Nothobranchius furzeri: one gene and its partner. The protein of the gene in region 1 interacts with the protein of each later gene in a pairwise test. Links are inferred from orthologs where the notes say so. Each region holds a gene or a part of one and is shown in the gene's direction. Other genes may lie near its edges.

Region 1 (3,571 bases):
GAATCACTTTAGTTTACATTGTAAATTTGCATTTTTGGAGCATGACCAGTTTAAAGTCAGATAAAAATGTCCCATAGCTTTAACTAACTTGTACAACAAAGTAGTTAATCCTGGAGCTGACACTCTTTGTTAATACTGATTGTGAATTGATTTAAATCAAGAATCGATTTTGAATCGAATCAGCACCCCAAGAATCGGAATCGAATCAAACCGTGAGTTGTTCTAAGATTCACATCCCTACTAGCGATTACATATTAGTAACAAACGTGACTCATAAACGTGAACAAAATATTAAATAAGGAAGGCAAAAGTGGACAAGAAAAAGGTAATGCAGGATCCTGAGAAAGGCAGAATTGGTAGAAATAGCAGCATGAAAAGAAGGTAGTGATGAAGAATCAATAGAAGGTCCCACCAAAGCCTGAACAGGTGAGTGTAAAGGAGACCACTGAGTCCACTGATCTCAGGCTCAGGAGGAGAGAGCTCCAGAGTCTTTGGGCCACAGCAGGAGATGATCTGTCACCTTTGGTCTTTAGCCTGGTGCTGCACAACCAGTAGGCTTTGGTCACTGGACCTCAGGGACCTGCTGGGGGTGTAGGGACTGAGAAGATCACCAATGTATGATGGTGCTTGTCCATGTAAGGCCCTATAGACCAGAACCAGGATCTTGAAATGAACCCTGAAGTTGACTGGCAGCCAGTGAAGCTGGAGGAGAAGCGGGGTGATGTGGGTGTGTTTGGAGGACTTGGTCAGAAGCCGAGCACAGGCATTCTGAACCACCTGTAGCCGGTTCAGGGAGGTTCTGCTCAGACACGTGAAAAGAGAGTTACAGTAGTCTAAGCGTGAGGAGATGAAGGTGTGGATAACTGTCTCAAGTTCAGTGTGGGGCAGGATGGGACTCAGCTTAGCAATGTTCCTGAGATGGAAGAAGGAAGAGCGAACAAGAGAACTGACATGAGAATCCAGGGTGAGAGCTGGGTCAAAGGTCACACCAAGATTCCTGACAGGGTTTGGTGTGAGAAGCAAGCTGACCAAGAGAGTCTCTGACTTTGGGAACCAGCTTGTCTGGGGCACAGATGAGGATCTCTGCCCTCCTTTCATTTAGCTGTAGAAAGTTCCCACCATCCAGGTTTTGATAGTCTAAGCAGATGTGTAACAGCTGCAGCTTAGACATCTCATGGGGTTTAAAGGAGATGTACAGTTGGATGTCATCTGCATAACGATTGTAGGCGATTCCTTTAAAGGAGCTCAGGATGTGCTGAAGAGGAAGCAGATAGAGGAGAAAGAGCAGAGGCCCCAGCGCAGAACCTTGTGGGACATCATGGGTGAGGGAGTTGGTGGAGGACCTAAACTTGGAGACGGCCACAGAGAAGGATCCCTCAGATAGATAAGAGGAGAACCATTCCAGAGCAGTTCCTGATAGGCAAGTTTCTCTAAATAATAACAAAAAAAGATCTAATTTGAAGAGAACAAAGTTTTAAAGGGCAAGAATGGTCTCAGGAGGTTCAAAACAAAAATCTAAATGTTATCAAATACAGGCCAGTTACCAATGAATAAGATTATCAGTCAGTTATTTCAGGAGCTTGTATTTGGTAAACCTGTTGGAACATCATGAAACAAGTTTGTATAAATAAACAAACAAAATGATCCTTGTGATTAGACTCCTGTCTCTGTTCAGTCCTCATGTGGTCAGGTATTATGGCAGCTATTTCAAAAACAGCGACCTGTGGATCGTCATGGAATATTGTGGCGGAGGATCTGTGTCTGACATCATCCGAATACGTAACAAGACGGTAACTTAACACTCACACACACACTCACCTGCATGTGTTTGTGCAGCAGACTGTGTCAGGTGTCAAAGAGGGAAAGGCTGATGCTTTACCCATAATGCACGGGGAAGAATCAGCATGTAAATCTGACTTTCACCAGTTTGCTCAGCCATTTCTAATGTTTTGCTGTTGTTTTTGTATTTTATGGTTTAAATCCAGACTTGGCACTGATTTGTGACAATAACAAAGGTAGTTTTCACAATTTTAACATCCAAATAAACTTGGGATGCACCGAAAATTCAGCCACTGAAATTTTCGGCTTTCGGCCGAAACATCAAAACCACAGGAGACAACAGAGCCGAAACACCCATTTTGTTTCTTTCTTTCTCACTAAAAGTGAAATATGAACTGAAGCTGTTTTTGTTGTCTGTATGCACCAAGGTTGAGTGTTATAGGTTGTTGCTGTGGGTCACATCCCATAATAACCACATGTTTGTGTTTTGGCTTTATAGCTGACAGAGGAGGAGATCGCCACCGTCCTACAGTCGACCCTGAAGGGTTTGGAGTACCTCCACTTCATGAGGAAGATCCACAGAGACATCAAGGCAGGCAACATCCTGCTGAACACTGAAGGTCAAGCTAAACTGGCTGATTTTGGGGTTGCTGGACAGCTCACAGTAAGAAGAACCTCTGAGTTTAAACTCTGTGTTAAAATGCTATTTTTTAAAGGGAGAAAGTGGAATCTGTTGTCGCTTCTTACACTAATACAAATATAATGCATCTGACGTTAAAAAATCTTCTCTGGAGCTGAATTGAAAACGTTACCAGCTGCGTTTGTTCCCTTGGATTTTTTCTTGACCTTCTCAGGACACCATGGCAAAGAGAAACACCGTCATCGGCACACCATTCTGGATGGCTCCGGAGGTCATACAGGAAATTGGCTACAACTGCGTGGCTGATATCTGGTCCCTGGGAATAACCGGGATCGAGATGGCTGAAGGCAAGCCGCCTTACGCCGACATACACCCGATGAGGGTGAGGAAGGGGCAGTGGGTTTGTCTGAGCTCACACAAGTCAGTCGGTTAATGAAATGTTTTTGTTTCATTTGTTTCTAAAGGCGATCTTCATGATTCCCACCAACCCTCCTCCAACGTTTCGAAGCCCAGATCTGTGGTCGGCAAACTTTCAAGACTTTATCAGCCAATGTTTGGTGAAAAACCCAGAAAACAGAGCGACAGCCACTCAGTTGTTACAGGTAACAAATAAAAACTGGGAATAAGCAGTCGGTGTTGGGCTGGAAAACATTATTACACTTTCTGCTACCTATCTCTAACGGACATTTCTTTTGGTTACGACTGCATTTTAAAGGCATCAGACATTAGAAATTTCAGAGCCACTTTTGTTTTTTCCCACCTGCAGCATCCTTTTATCAAATCAGCAAAGCCCAACTCCATCCTGCGAGCTTTGATCCAGGACGCCATAGAGATAAAACTGAAAATACAAGAGGAGGCAGAACAACGAGAACAAGATGAAGAAGAGAATTCGGTACAGACATAAGAGTCTGATCCAATCTATAGAGAATAAATCAAATGTTTTACTTCCAGATTACAATCAGTCATTCAAGCTCAAGAGATAGGAGTGCTAACTCAGCTAAAATCTTCTCCCATCTTTGCGTCTGTCAGGATGAAGATGAGGTCGACCAGGGGACGATGGTTCGGGCACCAAGTGAGTCCGGAACGATCCGGGCTGCTGGTTCTTTAGCAGGTTCACTTAGCGGTACTATGATTGAACGTGCGGACACGGGA
Region 2 (4,313 bases), about 23 Mb from region 1:
TCTTCTGCAGCTCTGGATCCAAACCCAGCCAGGCCCTCCACGCTGTGACATGGCTCCACCTGCATCGCCTCATTTTAACAGCCTCTGCTGCGCGGCGGACCGGTTCTCTAGATGGATGGAGGCTGTTATAAAAAGAGGAAGCTATTTCAAACAATCAATAAAATGTGAATCTCTGATTAAATGTCGGATGCACAGAGATGTGGGATAGGCCGCAGATGGATGTTTAGTGTGTGTGCTGATACCAACCTCGTTAATGTGTGTGATTGTATTTTTAATAGGCTGCCATGGTGACAGACTGTAGATGAAACAGCCAATGCCCAGTCAGCTGGTTTACTGGCTGCATTTCCTGTTTCTGCCCACTTAAGAAGCACTTGGGAATTTAACATATGGCCTCTATGAGAGCGTTTCGTAGCCTGATTAGGATTTTTGTTTGTGTAAATCAGATTTTCATGTTGGTGTGTTGATCTGTGTTTAGAAAATCATGATCTGTGCCGTCCTGACGGCAGTTTCCAACCATCACATCTGTCAGGATCTGTGTAAGGCAGACGACAGAGATTTTAAAAGGTGAAAATCAAATAAAATATTTATTGTCTTCGTCTTTCCAACTGTTTCAGATTTTCCACTTTTTCTGGTTTATTTGACTAATAAATTAGTAAAGAGTGAATATACACATTCTGTTTTAATATTCCTTTTTGTGTTTTTGATAAGTCATGTTTTTTTTTTCGTTTTCATTGGGAGTTATACCAACATGTAATTCCCCTCCATCAATGGTGAAGATGACCACTATTAGGGAAAGTCCGTTGGCGCCACAGTTCCTTAGAACACCAAAAACAGAAGTGCATGGGATGGCACACTTCAGTGAAAATATACCAAAAAACATTTAAAAATATCACGTGGTGTGGTCTGACCTTTGGGGAAAATAGTCCCCCCCCCCCTTTTTTTTTTAAACTAGCATAAGCTGATGTTGATTTCAGAAAGTGAGTGTAGGAGGAGTGTGTGTGCTGGGGGGGGGGGGGGGGGGGGGGGCTAAGGAGGCTGTAATGAACTGCTCATATGACGCGTTTGTCACTGGAAAATTACAAACACTTTCTAGCCCACACACATTATGTTTTAGTTCTGTTTTACATTAAGATAATATTCAAATAAAAACAAAAGTATTCACTCTTTTCAAGTTTATCTTGACTATTTAAAGAGAAAATATTTTTTAATCTAACATTTTATGTGTTTATGATTATTTTATCTGACTTGTTGTGAATTGCCCTTGGGTGTCTTGAAAGGCGCTTTTATAAATAAAACGTGTTATTATTTAACTGTAATTTTCTTTCATTACAAACTGTTTAGTTTTAACCTTCTGATGATACAGGAAGACCATTTAGTGCTCTGGATGAACCTTGGCTGGTGGGACAGCGCGCGCGCCCATCAGTGCGCCAGGAGCGCGCTCACGGCATTTAAAGCTGTTGGTACTTTGCGTCACGACGCGTTTGTCACTGGCGGGAGTTGAGTTTATAATCGAGGCACGGAGTCAAAACACGCATTTCTTCACACTCCGACCCGCCGAACACACAACCATTCAAGGCGAACGCGACAATGGCGTCTGTGAGCGTGGTGGGCCAGCAGCCCGGTCCGCACAGGCTGGACTCGGAACCGCCGGTGCTGCTCTTCAAACTCTCCGGCACCAAGACGAAAATCACCCTGCCGAGGAAGTCGTCCTGGGAGAAGATGATGTTCACCAGGAGCGGCGATGACCTGGAGCCGGTTAGGACCGAGGAGGCTCCTGGACCAGCCGGAGGAAGAGGGAAGAGAATGCCCAGGGAGGGATGCGGGGCCCCGGTTGCCTTTGATGCGCCACGTAGCCCGCACCCGGAGGACAGCGGCGGCGGCAGGTCACAGAATGGGCACGTCGATGGCTACAGCCACAAATATGACTCAAGTCGGCGGGGGGGCTCTCTGAAGGAGAACGCCATACTGACTCCAAGCGGGAACAAACGGTCACTCCGGCACCGGGACTCTCTGAGACGGAGCTGTCGGAGTGGACACACCGGTCACCAGAGCGTCTCCTCCGATGTGGTTTCCCCCCCGGAGAGCGGCGGTCTGCCGCTGGAGCGGCTCACACAGAGCAGGACAGGGATCGTGAAGCTGGCCCGGACCGAACCTCACCGCACCGAGGCCTGGTCCATCTTTCCGCAAGAGATGGATCCACGTGTGAGGACTGAAAGGGGCGAGGGTCACCGCTTCGAGAGCCAGCCGGTGAACCAGGACTGGTGTGATGTCTGCAGCCGGGAGATCAGCGCGCAGGTGGTCAAGTGTCAGAGTGAGTCAGGCTGAGAGAAAACTCCTCCAGAACATGCATTAGTGTACGGTTCTGATTCATTTAGTATATGAACACACACACACACACACACACACACACACACACACACACACACACACACACACACACACACACACACACACACACACACACACTAAAATGGGGACTTTGAGAGCGAGCCAGTGCTGCAGAAGGACATTTCTAATCGCTTTGTCCACGGATCCAGCCATATAAGCCCGTTATATCGCTCTTTCGACTTTGCCTCACAGACTTAACACGCAAGTAAAGTAGAAAAGATGGTGAATTTATGATGCTGCAGTGGTGAAACGCTGCAAGGACCTGCAGGTAACAGAGAAAAAGAGTCCCGATGTATCTGAGATGTGTGATTTGGCCATTAAGTGACTAAATTAGGCTTTTATTTTGTCAATCAAGACAAAAAAAACTTTAAATTTTATTTAGAAAAAGTCAGGAAACTCCAATCAAATGTAGACACAGATGTTGGTGTTGATCACCCCTAAAGAAGCCCACTCAGAGTGAGGGAAACCCCTGATTTCATGAGTCAGTCTTTCAGGGTTGTTCTCCTCCCACCTGCATTGGTGTTTACAGCTTTAATTTGTGTTGACATGTACACACACACACACACACACAGACGACCTGAAGAGCCTTTGTGGGTTTATTTGTGCACATACTGTACATCCAGTGTGTGTGTGAGTGTGTGTTCATGCTGAGCTAGCATTGTGTCAGCAGCACTCTGTCATGAGGAGGGTGGGATGAACCAAAGGACTGAAGGCGATGAAAGGAGTGAGGAGGGAAAGGGGAACTGATAAGGAATGGGAACACTTAAAGGATAATCCCTTTCAATCCCTCAACTGGGACACTTTCATCGGAGAATAGATGACACGTAGCTTGGTTTGATGTAAAACTGCAGGCAGGCTGAGAGAAAGATCTAATGTGAACAAAGGAGTTGGTCCGGCTCTGCAGAGCTGTCTGATTTAGTGTGCTGTTGGCGAGAGCTCGCTGGAGCGAGATTACTGAAGCAATAATCCCTCCACACACACACACACACACACACACACACACACACACACACACACACATACACACACACACACACACACACACACACACACAGGTTTTCACAACCCTAGAACTTCACTTGTGTTTTCCTTTCTCTTTCTCTCTCTCTCTCTCTCTCTCTCTCTCTCTCTCTCTCTCTCTCTCTCTCTCTCTCTCTCTCTCTCTCTCTCTCTCTCTCTCTCTCTCTCTAGCTTCTCTTTTTCTGGCCTGCAGCCTGGACGCTTCTCCTCTCTTTCCTCTAAGCATCCCTGGTGAACCTCGTGCACGGTCACGAGGGTAAACCACACAGTACACAGTGAGGCATTTTAAGGTATTTTAGGGGAAAAGAGAAACAAGCGAAACTGCCGAAATAGAAGAACACGTTATCGTCTCTCAACTACACCCTGGAAATGACAGGGAATATGAGACGGAAACAAATGAGCGTCTTTTTGTTTTGTTGCTTTGCTGCATTTCCTCTCATTTATTGCCCTCTCTCAGCCTGCTGCGCCTTTGTTGCGTAGGAATCCTGTAGAAACGGCGACGCAGCAGCTTGTCCCTCTGGGACTGTTGTGGCCTTGCCCTGCAGAGGAATCTGTCAGTCAGCTCCCAGTCTCGTCGTCCTCTGGCTTTCAACTACATCTGTGGGTTTCTTTTTTCTCTCTCATTTAGTTTCTGTCTTTATTCCTCTTCTTGGCAGCTAAATCATAGAGTCATGTGATAAAACATCCCAACTCAGCATGTACAAAGACGCTGCAGGAATATCTGAGCCATGTGTAGAGTCAGACTGTTACTGGGCAATAATCTTGTTCTGTTTTGCTGATTTAATAGGGGATGATATGAAAACACACACGTCACGGAGGGGAGCTTCTTAATCCCAGCTCTGAGTGTCTCCTGTCTGGGATTACATCCCAGCAGTGGAGTAATTGGGATTACATACAGAGTCAGA

Evidence for each region. The genes of interacting proteins can lie anywhere in the genome.
Region 2: the proteins of serine/threonine-protein kinase 4 (region 1) and rassf5 interact in binary tests that used the Homo sapiens proteins (3 or more experiments, as listed by UniProt). The link is inferred for Nothobranchius furzeri from reciprocal best matches to the Homo sapiens genes STK4 and RASSF5.

What each region holds. Positions count from the first base shown.
Region 1 is NC_091743.1:73,684,662-73,688,232, forward strand, and holds part of serine/threonine-protein kinase 4, read left to right. Parts: intron 1-1,675; coding exon 1,676-1,790; intron 1,791-2,278; coding exon 2,279-2,443; intron 2,444-2,633; coding exon 2,634-2,801; intron 2,802-2,883; coding exon 2,884-3,021; intron 3,022-3,185; coding exon 3,186-3,311; intron 3,312-3,448; coding exon 3,449-3,571. UniProt on the Homo sapiens protein: Stress-activated, pro-apoptotic kinase which, following caspase-cleavage, enters the nucleus and induces chromatin condensation followed by internucleosomal DNA fragmentation.
Region 2 is NC_091743.1:51,065,624-51,069,936, reverse strand, and holds the start of rassf5 (ras association domain-containing protein 5), read left to right. Parts: upstream 1-1,458; 5' UTR 1,459-1,587; coding exon 1,588-2,311; intron 2,312-4,313. Other genes in the region: ikbke (inhibitor of nuclear factor kappa-B kinase subunit epsilon), read left to right, coding at 1-48. UniProt on the Homo sapiens protein: Potential tumor suppressor. Seems to be involved in lymphocyte adhesion by linking RAP1A activation upon T-cell receptor or chemokine stimulation to integrin activation.